Drosophila melanogaster: one gene and its partners. The protein of the gene in region 1 interacts with the protein of each later gene in a pairwise test. Each region holds a gene or a part of one and is shown on either strand. Other genes may lie near its edges.

The links.
Region 2: the proteins of Mlc2 (region 1) and NaCP60E interact in a two-hybrid assay, tested with the Drosophila melanogaster proteins (one large-scale study listed by BioGRID).
Region 3: the proteins of Mlc2 (region 1) and Cp38 interact in a two-hybrid assay, tested with the Drosophila melanogaster proteins (one large-scale study listed by BioGRID).
Region 4: the proteins of Mlc2 (region 1) and nmd interact in a two-hybrid assay, tested with the Drosophila melanogaster proteins (one large-scale study listed by BioGRID).

Annotation. Positions count from the first base shown.
Region 1 is NT_033777.3:30,170,932-30,176,279, forward strand, and holds Mlc2 (myosin light chain 2), read right to left. Parts: upstream 3,621-5,348; 5' UTR 3,556-3,620; coding exon 3,553-3,555; intron 2,884-3,552; coding exon 2,641-2,883; intron 2,482-2,640; coding exon 2,059-2,481; 3' UTR 507-2,058; downstream 1-506. Other genes in the region: Rsod (uncharacterized protein), read right to left, coding at 67-136.
Region 2 is NT_033778.4:24,889,852-24,894,672, forward strand, and holds the start of NaCP60E (Na channel protein 60E), read left to right. Parts: upstream 1-1,762; 5' UTR 1,763-1,986; intron 1,987-2,432; 5' UTR 2,433-2,697; intron 2,698-4,232; 5' UTR 4,233-4,718; coding exon 4,719-4,755; intron 4,756-4,821. Other genes in the region: Ance-5, read right to left, coding at 72-1,060. UniProt on the Drosophila melanogaster protein: Mediates the voltage-dependent sodium ion permeability of excitable membranes. Plays a role in processing of olfactory information during the olfactory avoidance response.
Region 3 is NC_004354.4:8,479,783-8,483,814, forward strand, and holds Cp38 (chorion protein 38), read left to right. Parts: upstream 1-2,054; 5' UTR 2,055-2,131; coding exon 2,132-2,176; intron 2,177-2,402; coding exon 2,403-3,278; 3' UTR 3,279-3,529; downstream 3,530-4,032. Other genes in the region: Cp36 (chorion protein 36), read left to right, coding at 1-518.
Region 4 is NT_033779.5:10,301,636-10,305,524, reverse strand, and holds nmd (no mitochondrial derivative), read left to right. Parts: upstream 1-1,577; 5' UTR 1,578-1,688; coding exon 1,689-1,870; intron 1,871-1,926; coding exon 1,927-2,854; 3' UTR 2,855-3,352; downstream 3,353-3,889. Other genes in the region: CG5390 (uncharacterized protein), read left to right, coding at 20-376, 443-698, 756-1,363; CG13138 (uncharacterized protein), read left to right, coding at 3,570-3,581, 3,666-3,889.

The DNA of each region.
Region 1 (5,348 bases):
GAGATACTTTCGATTTCTTTGGCCACGCAATATCTGCATACAATGCAATCGATTCCCAGCACTCACCTCCACTCATTAGTGATGCAATCCAGCAGATGGAAGCCATCCACAAAAGCTGTCGTCCACCTGGAGCCATGGTTCTGGTTCTACTTACGCCCTGAGTAACCAGATTATTCGAAAAGCGCTGTTCGGAATGGATGTGGCAATGACAAGCGTGGCTGACTTTCACATCGTAGTGCGCATGCGTGCGCCTCGAAACTCGACTGACAACTGGTCGCTCGAAGGTTCGTGTTCGGTTTTGGCCATCGTCTTGGCCAAGTGTGGGGAGTTTCCCACTGCGCTCCACAGCTTCGTTCAGCTCCCCAGCTTTATCGGTGGTTTTGTTTTGACCTGGAACTGGTTTCCGGCACGGCTCAGCTGAGTCAGATATGCAGTAAGGTACTACATACCCCCAAAAAACCCCTTCCCTGAGCAAATCAAACTTCAATGGCTTTGTGTTTTTTTTTCAAGACGACTCTCTTTTGCTTTATTCCAAGACTTCGTCATCGTATCATCATCTAGTTATGTTGTATAAAAACAGTTACTTGTTTTCTATTTTTAGATGTTTTTTGTTTTACTCTTGTTAATATTCCTGACCGGGTTAAAAGTTTTCTGAATTTTTTCATCTTGCCGTGTGTAGCTTAAAATATACTGAAGTAAAGATTCGATTTGCATTTAACAACTTGTTGCATGTTGCACTTTGAAATGGATTGCAGTGTGCGTGTGAGTGTGGTGTGTGCTCGTGTCGAGTGTCAAGTGTTGAGTTCTGAGTAATAGTAGTATTAGATAAATAAGGCAATATATTGTGCTTCCTCCGATCAGCCTAGGTACTAGTGGTTATGGGCACCTTATTCAAACTAAAACCCCCCCGACCGTCTATTTCCCGGGGAGGCGTATCATCCTGGAAGCTTCAAAACGCATTAACTAGAAACACTGGGTTTGTTATTTGAATGTTTCTTCATATTTCAGATATCATTTTGGGTTGTTTGTTCGTTTGGGTGGTTTATATCGCTGATAGTTCATAAGCAGAAAGTTGTGGTGGTGGCGATGGTTAAGTTATATAAATTCGCATTAAACAATTTGAGTGAATGAACTTAATGTTTCTCTGTTATTAGCCTAACTCTCGATAACTTGCAATAATATTGATAACTCATAACTGATAAATAAGTAAGTAACGAACGATAGATATGTATAACGATAAATATTTTGTGATAGTAGGATATATATTTGGCTCTCAGTTAAATGATCCCTAACAATAGTTTGTTATGGGTTTACCTCTCTCTCTCCTGGTCCTGCGAGATTTCTTGAACGAAAAACATTGTAACTCACAAAACTGGCTAAAATTCATATTCATAATCAAATTGAACTCGCGGGTGCAGGGCTAACGAATACAGCCCGGCTACCCATCAACATCGTCTTCGTCCTCCCTACATCATAAATCATACATCATACATCCTCATTTCGATTCCGATCTCGATCTCGATCTGGTAATCATCTCTCTCTGGGGGTTCTTCTCTTTAGTTCTTCAACGGACAGCGATATAAAAATAGACACGGCTTGTTTGTTGTTTTTAAGTTTTTTTTGTTGATTTTATAGGTGTTTTAAATAAAATAGATAGCATATGTTTTATAAATTTTACGTGTAAAATTTAACAGTAAATCAACTAGAAAACTACGCGTCAGTTCTTGCCGTGACAGTGAACGTGATCGTAAGTATCCCTAACTATGATGGACAGATACATGGTAAATGGTTCTGATCGCTACCAAATGTTGCTGAAGAAGTTCTTTTGAGGTTCAGTTTGATCGGATGTTGCTGATCTGGTTGGTGGTGTTGTTCTTGGTACAAGGTACTTGGTGATGGTTAACAAAAGAGATTACAAGATACTGAGAATCTACATATGTAAACGAGCGTTTCTTTTAATTACGTTTATTATTACTGATTTGACTGATTGATTTAACGTTCTGATTCTGGCTGTAAAATGGATGTTGAGTTAGAAGTTAGGATGTGATCGGATGTGCCTTAGGCGGCCTCCTCCTCCTCCTCTTCACCCTTGCCGGTGAGCATCTCGATCAGGGCGGCGGTATCGATCTGGTTCTTGTCGTCGATCACCATCTGATCGTAGGCATCATCAACCTCCTTCATGGTGAACTTGTCACCGAAGTTCATGAGCATTTCGCGGAATTTGTCACCGTCGATGAGACCATCGTTATCGAATGTTTTGAAGGCAGCAATAACAACTTCGTCTTCATCGTTGGCACCGGAGGTGGCCATGCGGTTGGCGAACAGGGTCAGCAACTGGGTGAAGTTGATCGGACCCGAGGCCTCGCCCAGCATGGCGTCCAACTCCTTGTCGTTGGCGATCTTGCCGACGGAGTCGAAGGCAGCGCGCAGATCGTTCTTGCCAATAATACCGTCCTTGTCGGCATCCATGAGTTGGAAGGCCTATCGATCCCGCACAGAGACAGAGAGAGATAGAAAGAAAGAGTGTGTTGGTGACTTGGTCCTTGACAAGTGCGATAGATGGTAGGATGACAGGATGATGGGATGGGTCTCGAGTGATCCGACATATGATGCGATATATGAGTAACGCCCAAAACTCACCTCCTTGAACTCGGCGATCTGCTTCTGGGAGAACACAGAGAAGACCGAGGAGCCAGCGCGCTTCGACTTCCTGGAGCCACGGGATCCGCCCGACGCTCTCTTCGAACCAGTGGCAGATGCGGCCGGGGCAGGAGTGGCAGCTGGTGCCGGGGTTGCTGCCTCGGATGCGGCCTCAGAAGCGGTTTCGGAAGTACCACCCTCTTCCTTGGTCTTCTTCTTCTTAACCTTCTTCTTCTCATCGGCCTGAGGAGAGAAAAGAGGGATTTATTAGTAGGGACTCGTGGCAGAAAGGGGGTATCTACTCGGTCATTAGTCGTTATAGTCCGTCTTTAGCTGTCACTTGAAAGTTCCGATTCCGGAAGTTATACTATTCGTTTTAGGGATCTTAGTAAGTTATCCGCGTTGAAGGATCTTCAATTGGAATTATATGGGTAGAAAGTTATCCCTTAATAGGGATTTAAGGGATGTAAGGTATGCTTTTCAAAAGGCCTACCCGACTAGGCCAGAAAATATGTATCTGCAGGCGAAAGTTTTCCACTCATTCTAAAAATATACCGGACGCATATTACGTAAGCTCTCCGCCGTGCGCCACTCGCTGTCTCGCTCGCTCCCCGGCACGGATATCAGATTACATTACTGACGCGTAACACTCGGATCGGATCGATCCATTTATAGAACTTTCTGCACTATTCTCACTGCGTATGTGAAGAAGGTGAATCGGGATCACCATGATTTAGAGTTATGGTTCACTTCATATTCATATCCTCGGGGTCATTCTCGAATGCAAACGATTCACTGCACTGATCGGCATTATCCTTGCTGCATATATCCAGGCACTGGGGTCCAGTTCGATTCGGTTCGGTTCAGTTCGGTTCAGTTGGATTGTAGTGATATTCCGGGACGAGTCCTTACCATGGTGCTGAACTTTGATGTGTTGTCTAATCGAGTCGAGCCGTCAGAGCACACTGAATCTCTGGCTGATTTTATCGCCAAGACAATGATGTTTTAAGAGCTCGGAGGAGCTCTTCTTCTTCCAAGCATTGGGGCCGCTCGTGGAGGTTCGGCCACCTTCGGGGATCTTCGGGCGCCATTCGCTGTATCCGTATCTGCAATATTCGTGCTGCCTTTTTTAGTATCTGCAAGGCGAGGTCCGCCCAGGAGATCGGCGGGGGCGGGCAGCTACAACTATATAGATATAGCCATGGCTATAGCCTATAGCCTATGGTGTAGCTGTATCCGAGGTGTTTACTCATCCATCGGGCGCTGCTCTAATCAAAAATCTAATTTTAAAGGCAGAGAAATTGCTTTGGCTTTGGCTTTTGGGCAGCAGAAGCCTATACATATGTTCGGAATTTATTTCGGGGCGATTCGGATTGGTTCATATAGCGGCTCTCTGTTGTGGATACATTTCCCCATCCTCGGATTCTGTTTTGTTTTCTTTTATTTTGCTCTGCTTCACTACTCGGTGCGTCTCTCTGCCAGAGGCCACCTCCGAAAGGTGTCCTCTTGCGCTGAAATCACCTACATTTTCCTTGGCGGCGGACAGCATACATATATGCCAACATATAGCATATGTATGTATTCTATTCACGCCTATATACTCGATGTTTTGCTCGCCTACGTTCCTTTTTCTGTTTTCGAAATGCCCCGCACATTGTGCAATATGAAGAGCGCCGAGAATTCCAAATCTATAGATCTGTATATACATACACGGCGATCGGGCGGATTTCGTGTCGCATAAATATCCAACGAACCCGATATTGGACCAGAGTTATTTCGGCAACAAATGTGGAATAAACATCTGACTTTATCTATATGCTAGTCATCCATGGACATTGCATAACAATGGGAAGGCTGTAGGATTTCCATTTCAGATAAACTTTGGGTACCACGTCATGATACATTAACCTTGTTACTAAAAATATTAAACACTGCAGTATTCAAGCTATTTAAGCCATTTCAGTAAATAAATAGTAAAATTGTGACAACTTCAATCGACAAATTGGATTCTCAAAGCCTTATTTACACATTTTTAGTTTTCCAAATAAGCAGGAAATTTCAATTTAGTTTCAAGTGTTACAAAATATTATTATTCATATAGTTTACATCTATTTTTTTTAGAAATATTCATTCTGCAAATTATTCGACTTTTTGCTTTCTGAAGGAAATAAGCCAAAACATTTTTCAAAACAATATTTACATGAGGTCATCTTTGCCACCTGAATTCATTACCCTCGCTGGCTAATATTATAATTAATGAAGGCTCTATGCAAATTTATGAAACGGAAAATATCTCAATTAACGATGGGATCCGTGCGAGAAAGCCTTCATAATTCATCGATCAGACATAATGAAAATCGATTTAGGCTGCAGTCATCTTCGTGCTCCATTGAAAGTGATTTTCGGCGAAAACTCTCATGGCGCAGCCATTTTGGCACGTAACCAGGCGACATTTTGGCCTGGGGCCAACCAAAACAAGAAGATATAGAGGAAAACTGCCCACAATCTAATACGCAAAGTAGCATTGAATATACGCGAATGTAAAAATAGAACAAAGTGCAAAAAACGAGCAAGACGCAGTCGAAGGAATGTTAAAACTAATGAAAACTGCGGCAAATGTATTCAATTTTCCAAGGTGCAGAATGTTTCTGGGAATATTAATGGTTTTGACACTTTGGAAGCATTGTTTATAAAGGGTTAACAATTAA
Region 2 (4,821 bases), on another chromosome or scaffold:
TTTTTGGAATTACTGTTTAAAATGGAAATACCTGCTTACAATTTTGAAACCTGTAGAGCATATATACTTACTTCGGCATAACCATTAAGCCCAACGATTCAAAAAACTCGGCAGCTTTGCGGTTGATTTTGACGGGCGTCACCAGGACCTCCTCCAGACGCCGATGAACGGAGGGCAACTGATGCTGTCTGCCCTGGTGCGGTGTGCGAAAGAACTGGTGAGGATACCAGTCCTGCGACAGGATCTGGTCCATAATGGGAGCGGAGATGGCGCCATCGCTCTTTGTGTCCGCCTTTGGGTAGGCAGCTTGCACCTCGCGACGCAAATAGGCGTGCAGTTCTCGATATAGCGGCATTATCTCCCACACGACCGCCTCCATTTCAGCTTGAAAGTTCTCCGTGTCGTAGTTAAGGTACCACGTGCGCGAGGGCGTCACATGCCCGTTGTAAGTGGCAGCGATCCGGAGAAGCCTAACGTAGCCGATGAACGTGTTCTTGGCCACGTCCTTCTCGTTAATGGCCCTGCGCCAGGCCTTCCAGTTGATGACCAGATCCTCGTATAGCTTGGTGTGCATGTTTTTGTTCATGATCTGCGGGTACATGGCCAGCGAACCACGGGCGGAGCAGTCCTCGTAAGGGCAGACCAGGGGTCCGTTGACAAAGTTATGGATCTGACGTAGAAGGTCCTTGGCCTGCTCGTAGTCCTTTGGCCGCAGTCCCTGCAGCTGCAACTTGGCCATTCGCTGCACGCGCCTACGAAGAAGTGGGTCATTCAATTCAGCCACTGACACAACGCTGAGATTGCCCGCTAAGTCGTAAAATAGTCGATAGGTCTCCGCCTCTACCTCCAGCTTGGAGTTGAGAACCTGTCCGCCCAGAGGTGACTTTCCTTTGGCCGTGAGCTGCACAAAGATCCTGCGGTTCAGACTCCACACGTGGCGCATGCGGTCTTTGGCTCTATCAAGTATCTGCTTGGTAGCCAGTTCATAGCTGGACTGGCCGATTCCGAAGGTCACGGAGAGCAGAAGGATTAGCGATACTCCTAAAAAAGGCAACCGCATTTTGCCTTCGCTGGCTTCCGTTTCGCCTTGATAAGGTTATCGGAGTGCTTTCGAATGCGACTTGGGATTTGCTTCCGACTCTGACGAAAGCTCGAGCAGAACTGAGTCCAGACTGCCAGTCGAGCCGCAGGCTTATCAATCTAAGTCCGGGGCATTGAGCTTATCTGTAATTGGGAAAGAAACCCAGCTAGCGATCTCTCCAAGCAAACGTTGCGTATACGTTACGAGCTTGGCATTATTTATACGCTGAGTGTGCCAGCCCGAGGCGGAAATCGCAGTGGGCACGGCGGGGAAGACATCCTTACACCATAATAGACTGATTAACAGCTGCTGGTTTTGTTAGCCAGTGGCCCATATTCAAGCAAAATCATTTTGACATATTCCTTCCGAAGAAGAGACAGCGGAGGTAGTCCTTTGCCCCGCGGTGCACCAGCGGAGCATTCGGAATTTAAATCGGAGAAATATGGGGAAGTTCGTCGTTCGTGTTGCATGTGGCACGGCATTTGTTTATGCCGGCTGACCTACAAGCAAACGTGAGGGCGCAGGGGGACTCTGCTCACGAAGGCGAGCGTGAGAGCATTTCCCGCACGAGTCCTTTTCGAGAGAATAGGGGGAAGTTCGCGTGTGTATTTTTTCATCGCTCTGCATCGTGGTCGCCCTGCAGATTACGTCAAACGGAAAGGAAACCCGTTAGCCGAGCTCAGTCTCCGACAAACCTTAGAACCGAGCAGTCGCCATGCAAGCGCACGTATTTACAGTGGCCCAGTGTCATAGTGTCCTAGTATGAAGTGAAAAAATCAAGGAATATGGTGAAAAGTGAAAAGTGAAAGGCAGTAAAAAGCCTGAAAGGGCATGGAACATAGCGCGGAACTCGCACCCCTACAGCCGCACAGTGAAGCGCGTTACCATCACAAGTGCATTATTCGGTGCGATGAAAATTCTTCAGCGCCCAAAAATAGAGTGAAATGTGTGCTGCATATTGTTGTTGCTGCTACTGAGTTGCTTAAGGGAGGGGGAGAGGCCACGACGGAAACTAACCTACATTTTCGCGCTCTTTCGCACGCTTTTGCTGACACACACACAGGCACACGTGCGGTGCCAGAGAGGCCACCGTGCTATCTCTTTCGCACTCACCCTTTGGGCCGCGAAAGAAATCAACAGTAAATTGTAATAACACTTCTTAGACTGCCAGTAGGCTTTTGCATGTGTGTGTGTGCGTGTGTCAAACAATGTGCGTGCCCGAAGTTTTTTGCTTTGTTCTGTTTTTGTTGCTGGTTCCGTTTCAACATCCCCACCCACTCACAGTCACATTGTTGCACAGTTGCGACTAAATAAAAATGTAATTAATGTAAAATAAAATCAAATAAAACAGCAGCAGGAGAAAAAACAACTGGATCGGGAATGGTGATTGAGCCAGTGTTGGGAAGTCGATGTTAAAGTGCGAGTGAAGGCGAACGTGTGCAAATGTGCTTTGTGTTCGTGTGTTGCAGGCCCAAGAAAGTAAAATACGAAAATAGAAATAGAAATTGCCGGAGTGCAAACACACAAGCGATTACATAAAGCCCAACTAGCATCCCCAACATCCGACAACTGCAACCAGCGGAGAATAAAAAAAAATTGATGGCCAATGCTTAAAGGTAAAATCGGATATTCATACGCGTGTGCGTGTGTTAGTGTTTGGGGGGAAGTTTGGGTTCCAACGCAACAGCAATGTCCTGGTCATAAATTAGCCCTTGATGTGCACTTAACTAGGTGGCCACACTTTCTCTTCGTTTCGAAGCGCTTCGTTCTGTTCGCACGAAGGAGAGAGCTAAAATGGCGGAAGGGGACCGATAACAAAATTCGTAGCACAACTTTAGGGGCCAACTGGCAAAGCTCTGCCAGCCGCACTTTTATGAGCCAACTTTAAAACCAACCGCTGGTCACGCCCAGAAAGCAGAAACCAGAAACAGAAGCGAGTATCCCCGCCCCAAAGAGAAAGACCCCACCGAACAATTGAAAGCCAACAACACACTGCTTAATGCCTCGAGCGCCGCTCTCATTGTTGTAATAAAAGTGTTTTTGCCGATTTGTGTGTGTCTGGGACAGACCAGCAAATGCAGGTGGATCTCCAATGGCACACGACAGCCCAGCCTCCAGGCGTAATGGCACATCCCTGCCACTGCCAGCGAATTTCCGCCAGCAAACATCACATCAACTGCCATAACGGGGTGTTGGAAACTTAATATTGAATATTTTATGGGCGCCTTCATCTACCGCTTTTCCATTTTTGCTGCCAGTTGCGAGTTGCCAGTTGCTCGCAGACGTGTCAAGAAGTTTGCGAGAAACACAACAGGAAGCGCCGGCCTACACAAGCACCTACACACCCATACACATGCCCATATATGCACAACAATGCCGGGAGCAGCATCAACAAAGCGCTGAGCAATGAGCAGCCCCCGACCCACGCCACAGCCTACGCAAGCTCATTGCTTTTTCGTTGGGCGCCATTTATCAATTCTTGTATCTTACTTGTGTTGTGTGCGTCTGTGGAGAAGATGCTAGATTGTGTGTATGGGTGTGCCCATAATGTTAATTAACTTTATCTCGCTCAAGCTTTAAGTCTTGAAGCGGCACTCATTTCCCGGCCCTCGCCACAATTCGCATTCTTCCCCTTCAGGTGCTTATCTCTTCCGTTACGCACATAACACATACGTTGGCCGAGTGAGTCGTTACGTTGCGTATACGTACTGCACTGGCAGAAAGGTTTTTCTCAGTCTTGAGGAAGTCCCCATTGAGTGCTGACTGCTATCTTTGTTTCACGGAACCAAATCCGTACATTTGTTCCTCTTTTCGATTGTCTTGTATTAATTCACAGTATAGTAGTAGTAGTGAAATAAAAAGGCTTGGTATTTGAAAAAAATTGGCAGAATGAAGAGAAATTATAATCGTATGTGTTCAAAGGACACCTTTTTTTTATTTTAAGGTCATCAATCTGAAGATTTTTTCTGAGTGTGAGCCGCGTGCCTTGGTTCGGGTGCTTTGAGCTGTAGGGGATTAGCGCGCTGCCAATTAACGTTACATGACACGACGCAGAGCAATTGCGGGCAGAGGCGATTTAATTTACTCTCATTCCCCCTACTTGCATAAGCTTAAATCTTTCCACTTACATCAATCTCTTTCTCTCGTTTAGAAAACATACGCATCGCATCGCAAAATGTAAAGCAATAATCAGCACAACAAAGCCAAAGCTCACAATAGAAGTAGACGACCAGGCTGAGCAACTGAGCTGGGACGATGCCAAATGCCATTATTGGAAACGGTCGTAGTCATAAGATTTGCATAGTATAGCAATAGCAGCAGACATCATGAAAGCCCCAAGCGTGATAAGCACAGCAACAATAGCAACAGCAATAGTAGATACTAGGCACAACATGGTTAACAAAGGGAACGGTGACAATATAATCGGTAAACTGAGCGATCGACTCGCTTGAATAGTGAGATAGACATATGCCCAGTGTTCGAAAATCGAGTGAGAAGCCTGGCAAAAGAGAGCGCGACCAAGGCATGCAGCTGCCCTAAGGACCTCGCCCAGGACGACGACGACGACGGAGTCGAAGGACCAAGAAGCAACCGCAACCAGAGGCAGCACCCAACAAAACGACGACAATCAGTCAAGATGAGTGATGATCAAGCGACGTTCAACGATGAGAAAGGTGAGTCCCCTAACCGCTAAGCCCTCCTGATACTGCTATTGATAGTTTTCTAAGCCACCCGGCCTC
Region 3 (4,032 bases), on another chromosome or scaffold:
TGGCCAGCAATATCCGTCAGGGCAAGATCAAGGTGGTGTCGCCACAGTTCGTTGACCAGCATCTGTTCCGCTCCCTGTTGGTGCCATCGGGCCACAACAATCACCAGGTGATCGCCACCCAGCCCCTGCCACCAATCATTGTCCACCAGCCTGGTGCACCACCAGCCCATGTGAACAGCGGCCCACCGACTGTGGTGCGCGGCAATCCGGTGATCTACAAGATCAAGCCCTCGGTCATCTACCAACAGGAGGTGATCAACAAGGTGCCCACTCCGCTGAGCCTCAACCCCGTCTACGTGAAGGTCTACAAGCCCGGCAAGAAGATCGAGGCTCCACTGGCCCCGGTGGTTGCACCCGTCTACAGCCAGCCCAGGGAGTACAGCCAGCCCCAGGGTTATGGTAGTGCCGGAGCTGCTTCCTCCGCCGCCGGTGCCGCCTCCTCTGCCGATGGCAATGCCTACGGCAACGAGGCTCCACTGTACAACAGCCCCGCGCCCTATGGCCAGCCCAACTACTAAGGTGCTCATCCTGGGCATGGGTTGCTCCTCAGCTGCGACAGCTGGTTTAATTTAAATTTTTGTTTTTTTTTTTCTTTGCCGAACTACTGAGCGCAAATAAATGAAAAAAAAATACTTGAAACGTAAACGTTTTGTCATCAATTATTTTCGACCGGAAGGGGCTACCTGAGTGGCAATGAAGCACACAGATTAAGCACATATTTATGAATATATAAATATATACGAATGCATGAGAGAACAAAAAATTATATCTAGTTTTCTTCAAAAATAAATAATAAAGGGGAAAATGGTATAAAGTATGAACATAAAATTATGAACGAGTATAAATAAGTTTGTAATTGAAATCTCTACGGTCATACAAGTATTTTAACTATTCTATAAATATGCATAAACATGGTACGCATTTTATGAGATACAATTCGAAAGATATTGGATAGCATTATCATGCATGAAATTATTTCACACTCTTGTGATGGTAGCTATCTTATTCCAGTTATCGTTTAATTGCAAAGAATGGGATCAAAAGGTCATCTTTATCAACATATTGTTGATTCCGGAATGAATAATAAATAATAACATAACTATGAATTAATGGAGCAACTATAATTTTACGGCCTCTTTTCTTTTAAACAAAGAATATAGCACTTTTAATGCATTAAATACGTATTTAAACCTTTTCTTTTGAAACGCCAAATTCATATTAGAGTTTCATAAGATTGTTTTAAAACATAACAACATAATAATTGAAGAATTGGAAATCTTTTTAGGTGTTTGTAAGCCTTTGAATTCCTAATTGGAATAGCTAAAGATCCATATTTCATCTTCAAATCTCTTTGCAACTAGAGATTTATTTTATCTGGCAATTATTAAGTATACATTTTTATATGGTACTTTAAACTGATGGTTTAATCAGTTACATGGATTTTCTAAATTAAAAATGGTCATGTGAAGATAGCCACTCTTCTAACAATCTAATCACATTTATAGTAAGAAATACAATACAATACAATACAATACAATACAATACAATACAATACAATAGAAAGACAATCGAATCTGCGCAATCCGTGTGAAATTCAAGGACTACAGCTGGGTGGCTAATCATTTCCCCCTATCCACTTACACCTCGGATTACCTCTTATTCCGACTCCCGGAGTCTTGTGTCTGCCAATGCGGAACTATTTTCGCTATCTGAACAGACGTTCGGACCTCGATATGCGGCAAAGATTCACAGCCCGGCTGTTGATTCCGATTCGGTGGCAATGTGTTCGTTGTTATTGTAAAACGGGCAATGGCAACTGGGCAGTGGGCAGTGGGGTTTTCGGGTTGTGGCTTCTACGTAAGTGGAAGAGACGCCGTGATATGCGCTGGCAGCGATGCGTGCGATCTATCAACATTTGGCCATGTTTCGTTCGCATCGCGTGGGCCCGGAGCGGAACAGCCGGCACCGGAGTTGGCATCAATCCAAATGTCACGTACCCGGAGCCGGAGACGCGTCCGGAGCATATTTAAAGTAGTCGGCCACCAATGGAGGGCAGCAGAAGACAGCAGACAGTCCAAGCGGGAGCACACCAGAAGCCGAAGAGCAACTGGAACTGCAACTGGGAGACAAGATGACGAGATCGACCTACATTTGGGCGCTGGCCGCCTGCCTGATCGTAAGTGTTCAAGCTCGAAATCTTAGGATTAATCCCAAGAAAACCAAGTCTATCAATTCTGACTGCTTTCGTTTGTGCCATGTAAATCGTACATGAAAAGCAAATTGACTTTCCTTTAAATTACTTGAAACGGAATCAAGCTATCTATCGATGCTAGACTTATTTTAAGTATATGTATATGTCGATCCAATTCTAATCCACCCCCCCCCCCTCAATTTACTTTTAGGCCTGTGCAAGCGCCAACTACGGCAGTTCCCAGGGCTATGGACCCGAGTCCGGAAGCGGTGCCTCCGATGGCGGTGCTGATGCCGCTTCAGCGGCCGCAGCAGCTGCCGGCGGTGCCGGTGGAGCTGGTGGCGAGTACGGTGGTGCTAACGCCGGTGCTGGTGCTCTCGAATCCGGAGCCGATGCCGCCGGTGTGGCACAGGCTGGCCAGAGCAGCTACGGATCCGACCAGAACATTCCGTACAAGCCGGTGAACACCAAGGGTAACACCCTGACCTCATCGATCACCTACCCGCAGAACAAGGGCGAGATCCTCATCCATCGTCCCGCTCCCATCATTGTCAAGCGTCCGCCCACCAAGGTGCTGGTGAACCATCCACCATTGGTGGTTAAGCCCGCTCCCGTGGTGCTCCACAAGCCCCCAGCAATCGTTCTCCGCAAGGTCTACGTCAAGCACCACCCACGTCGCGTCAAGGTTGAGCCCGTGTTCGTCAATGTGGTCAAGCCCCCAGCAGAGAAGTACTTTGTCAACGAGAACAAGCAGGGCTACGGACAGGGCTCGCAGTCCCACGGACACGGCCATGGACACGGTGGCCATGGACACGGACACAGCGGACACGGACACGGTGGACACGGTGCTGGACCCCATGGTCCTGGACCCCATGACGGTGGCCGTGCTCTGCCCGCCTACGCTTCGGGAGCTGATTCCGCTGCCGCCAGCGCTGGCTATCAGCTGCTCCAGAGCGGCAACCAGGGTCTGTCCGCTCTTGCCAACATCGCCGGCGAGCGTGAGGGTCCCTATGGTCCCGCTCCAAGCCATCAGCACTATAGCGCCGGTCCAGCCGGACATGGCGGCTATGCTGCTCCCGCCTATTAGGTAACAGATGCGGAGGAGTTACGGATTGGATGACTGCTGCGGCTCCGGAATCAACTGAAGCGGCTGGTTTAGTCATTCGCTTATCCGGCTGATTAGTTACTATGTTTTTTTTACAAAAAAAAAAAAAAAAAACAGCCTGATCGACCAACGCCCATGCCTACGCCCACGCCCACTCATGCACACCCCAATACCACCCACTCACCCATTCAACGGCCCAGGAGGGGCGTGGCACTCAGGTTTCTTTGCAAAACAAATAAAAAATTTGAACAAAAAAAAAAAAACAATTATACCCAAGCTGAATGTTGTTTTCGATGAAGGGTGAAATCTAGATGCTAGTTATATTTAAATTAAACTATCATTAGATATATACTCTAATTGATAGTTATTGATAGTCTTGCGACTCATTTTAAACTTGATACACTTATAGCATAGACAGTGAGTAATATCATTGATATTATTATATAATTATTGTTACACAAAGTGCATATGATGAGAATCGATTTAATGATGGGAGAACTGACTTACCCGCAACTTTATTCGCAGCAACAAGTGTCGCATATAATAAATACAATAAATCCGAAACGCAGGCTGTCATTACACACATCGTTTGGTTGTCCTTCCCCATTGTTGTGCGTTATGCCAATGGCATCCCACGCAATTGTTCAATAACAAACGGGCGGCAAAATCGGCTATAATGATAGGTAAGGCAAAGAAGAGCTCGGCTGATGACAGGTGGAATCGCAATTTAGGTCGC
Region 4 (3,889 bases), on another chromosome or scaffold:
AATTTTGCTTTCCAGGAATATGATATTACTAAATTGCCTAGTAATATGCCTGTGCATATTTTCCTGTGGTGCCCAGGACTCTTCCTTGGACAAATTGATATCGGACATCTTTAAAACGGACGAAACACCCAAACCATCATCCCCTCCCCCGCCAGTGGTGAACCCCAAGGATTCGTCCGGTAGCACGGGATCCGAAAACGGAGGATCGAGTTCAACGCAGTACCAGTCCTGTGGCGATCAAAAGGAGTGTGTTCCTCGCTGGTTGTGCGCCAATGATACGATTAACACCAGTGGCGATGGTATCATTGACATTCGACTTGGTACGGACGCCGAATGCAAGAACTATTTGGATCTTTGCTGTGATCTGCCCAACAAGGTAACACATACATAAATACCAATAAGCTTTGATTACTTAAATTAAACTATAATTTTATTTGTTAAGAGAAAAGATCCGATTTTCGAGTTTAAGCCTGATCATCCCGAGGGCTGCGGTTACCAAAATCCCAACGGCGTTGGCTTTAAGATCACTGGAGCTGTCAACCAGGAGGCCGAATTCGGCGAATTCCCCTGGATGCTGGCCATTCTCCGGGAAGAAGGCAACCTTAACCTGTACGAATGTGGAGGAGCATTGATAGCTCCCAATGTGGTTCTGACCGCGGCGCATTGCGTTCACAACAAACAGCCCAGTAGCATTGTTGGTAAGTGTACATGCCATCTATGCCATCTATGAGATCTAATTATGAACTGGCATTTAGTGAGAGCTGGCGAATGGGATACGCAAACGCAGACTGAGATCAGAAGGCACGAAGACCGATATGTCAAGGAAATAATCTACCATGAGCAGTTCAACAAGGGATCGCTCTATAACGATGTGGCTGTCATGCTGTTGGAAAGTCCATTCACCCTCCAGGAGAACATTCAGACCGTTTGCCTGCCCAATGTGGGTGATAAATTCGATTTCGATCGCTGCTATGCCACCGGCTGGGGCAAGAACAAGTTCGGCAAGGATGGGGAATATCAGGTTATCCTGAAGAAGGTCGACATGCCCGTGGTGCCCGAGCAGCAGTGCGAGACGAATCTGCGCGAAACTCGACTCGGCAGGCATTTCATTCTGCACGACAGCTTCATTTGCGCCGGCGGTGAGAAGGACAAGGACACCTGCAAGGGTGATGGTGGCTCCCCACTGGTGTGTCCAATTGCTGGCCAGAAGAACCGCTTCAAGTCCGCCGGCATTGTTGCCTGGGGCATCGGATGCGGCGAGGTGAACATTCCCGGAGTGTACGCCAGCGTGGCCAAGCTTCGTCCGTGGATCGACGCCAAGTTGAAGATTTGGAGTATTGACCCCAGGCACTATACACCCTAAGAGCAAAATTGTCACTTGAATTTGTGGGTTTTAATCTTCATGCTTCACAATGCTCTCACTTAATATATGCCCAATATGTTAATACTCAAAATTAAAAAAAAAAAAAATCTTTTTATTTTAAGCTGAAAAAATATTTTCGGAACAGTGGAAAAGGAATAGGCTAACAAAAATTGAATTCAGTTGGCAGCAATTTTGAGCTTATCGATGTCAATTTCAGTCGGAGCACCTGGTCACACTGTCGTCGGTGTGCATGGGGAATAAGAACAAGAAAGATTAGATTCGTGCAGGCCAACGTATTTGCTCTAAATAGAATATCTGCAGAAACATGGACAACTTCGGACTGGGCGGATCGGATCTAAGCAAGGGGCAGATATTCCAGGTACTGGTTCGCCTGTCTGTGGCCTCGCTGATCACATATTATTCGGTGAAATGGATGATGAACCAGATGGATCCGACCAGTAAAAACAAGAAAAAGGCCAAAGTTCTGGCTGAGGAGCAGCTTAAGAGGTTTATATTAGACTCATATAGCATATATTGTACATGTGTAAACCTTTTCCATGCAGGCTAGCCGAGCAGGAGGGCTTCAAGCTAAGAGGGCAAGAGTTTAGCGACTACGAGCTTATGATTGCGTCACATCTTGTTGTTCCCGCCGACATAACAGTCAGTTGGGCCGATATCGCCGGTCTGGATTCAGTCATTCAGGAGCTCCGGGAATCGGTGGTGCTGCCAATCCAGCACAAGGATCTCTTCAAGCATTCGAAGCTGTGGCAGGCGCCCAAAGGCGTCCTGCTCCATGGACCACCGGGCTGTGGAAAGACGCTGATAGCGAAGGCGACGGCAAAAGAGGCGGGAATGCGCTTTATCAACTTGGACGTCGCCATTCTTACCGACAAGTGGTACGGGGAATCCCAGAAATTGACTTCTGCTGTCTTCTCGCTTGCATCGCGAATCGAGCCATGCATTATTTTTATTGACGAAATAGACTCATTTTTGCGATCTCGAAACATGAACGACCACGAGGCTACCGCCATGATGAAGACCCAGTTTATGATGCTGTGGGATGGCCTCAGCACGAACGCCAACTCGACGGTGATTGTGATGGGTGCCACGAACAGGCCGCAGGATTTAGACAAGGCCATTGTGCGCCGCATGCCAGCCCAATTCCACATTGGTCTGCCCTCGGAGACCCAACGAAAAGACATCCTGAAGCTGATCCTCCAATCGGAGGAAGTAAGTCAGGATGTCGACTTGAATCGCTTGTCCAAGCTCACAAATGGCTTCTCGGGCTCAGACCTGCGGGAAATGTGCCGGAATGCTTCAGTTTACCGAATGAGGCAGCTCATCACGTCCAGAGATCCGTCAGCTACAGCGCTTGATCGCAACAACGTCCGCATCACCATGGACGATTTGCTGGGCTCGCACTTAAAAATTAAGGAATCAAAGATGCACACGAGCAGCCTATTCTTAGAGAATAGAATCGAATTAGATTAAGCTGACCATTGTTTATTCAAGCTCCCGATATATCCAACTTAAATTTGTATAATAAACTTTTTATTTGCCTTTCGAGAGGAGCTCCAATGTTATGTGTTAATTAACCCTGTTCTCTGCATTCCAAAATGGGTATCCGGAAAACGTAGTTTTGGTAGTCTTGAAAACAGCAACGGATACTGCAGGAAATTACACAATCCATAGCATTTCCGTAAAGCGGAGCTCAATGCACTTTAATTATTACATTTACGGGCTTCTGTGAAATATTCACCTAGAGAAATTTCAAACATTTATAAAGATATTGCACTTGTACACTTCTTCAAACACACACACAACTTGCGTCACGCGACCGTGGGCTTTCAATCGTAAAAAAAAATATAAGTAAACTTGTGCAGTTTTATTCTCTTTTAAAAAGGTCGTTTATTTCTGACGGCATTTCAAAGCTACACATTTGTATATCTAATTAAAAATGAATAAAAACATGCATACATTTTAAATAATCAAACCAAAACAAATTAGTTCTTGATGTTTTTGTATAATTTCTTAATTTAAGAAAAATATAGAGTGTACAAACTTCAAGCGAAGAAATTTGCTTCTGCACATTTTAATTATGTTTCGTGCTCATATAAATACTTTCTTCGATTGGCTCAAATCATTTCTGTTGAAGGCGTTGATTAAACCACTTCAAATCCAAGCGAGACTATATACTTAACAAAAAATGAACCCAATGGTAAGCTATATTTCCAATTTGTCTTTTTGATAGGAGATATTTTGTATGTACATACTTCATTTACGCGCATCCTTTCTATTTCAGTTAACTTTGATTCCTGGATACCTATTCATAACCTTAATAATTATTGGAAGTACTGCACACAGTAATTCCTATGCTGTGAATAAAACCAATAGTGTCGAAAGTGCCGAGTGGAGCTATCCTGAATACGGAAAAGGATCTACTCACAATACCGGAAGAAGATCGGAAAAGCTGGATCTGCAACATTATAATCGGGAAACCGAACGCAATGTGACTTTGAAACGCGG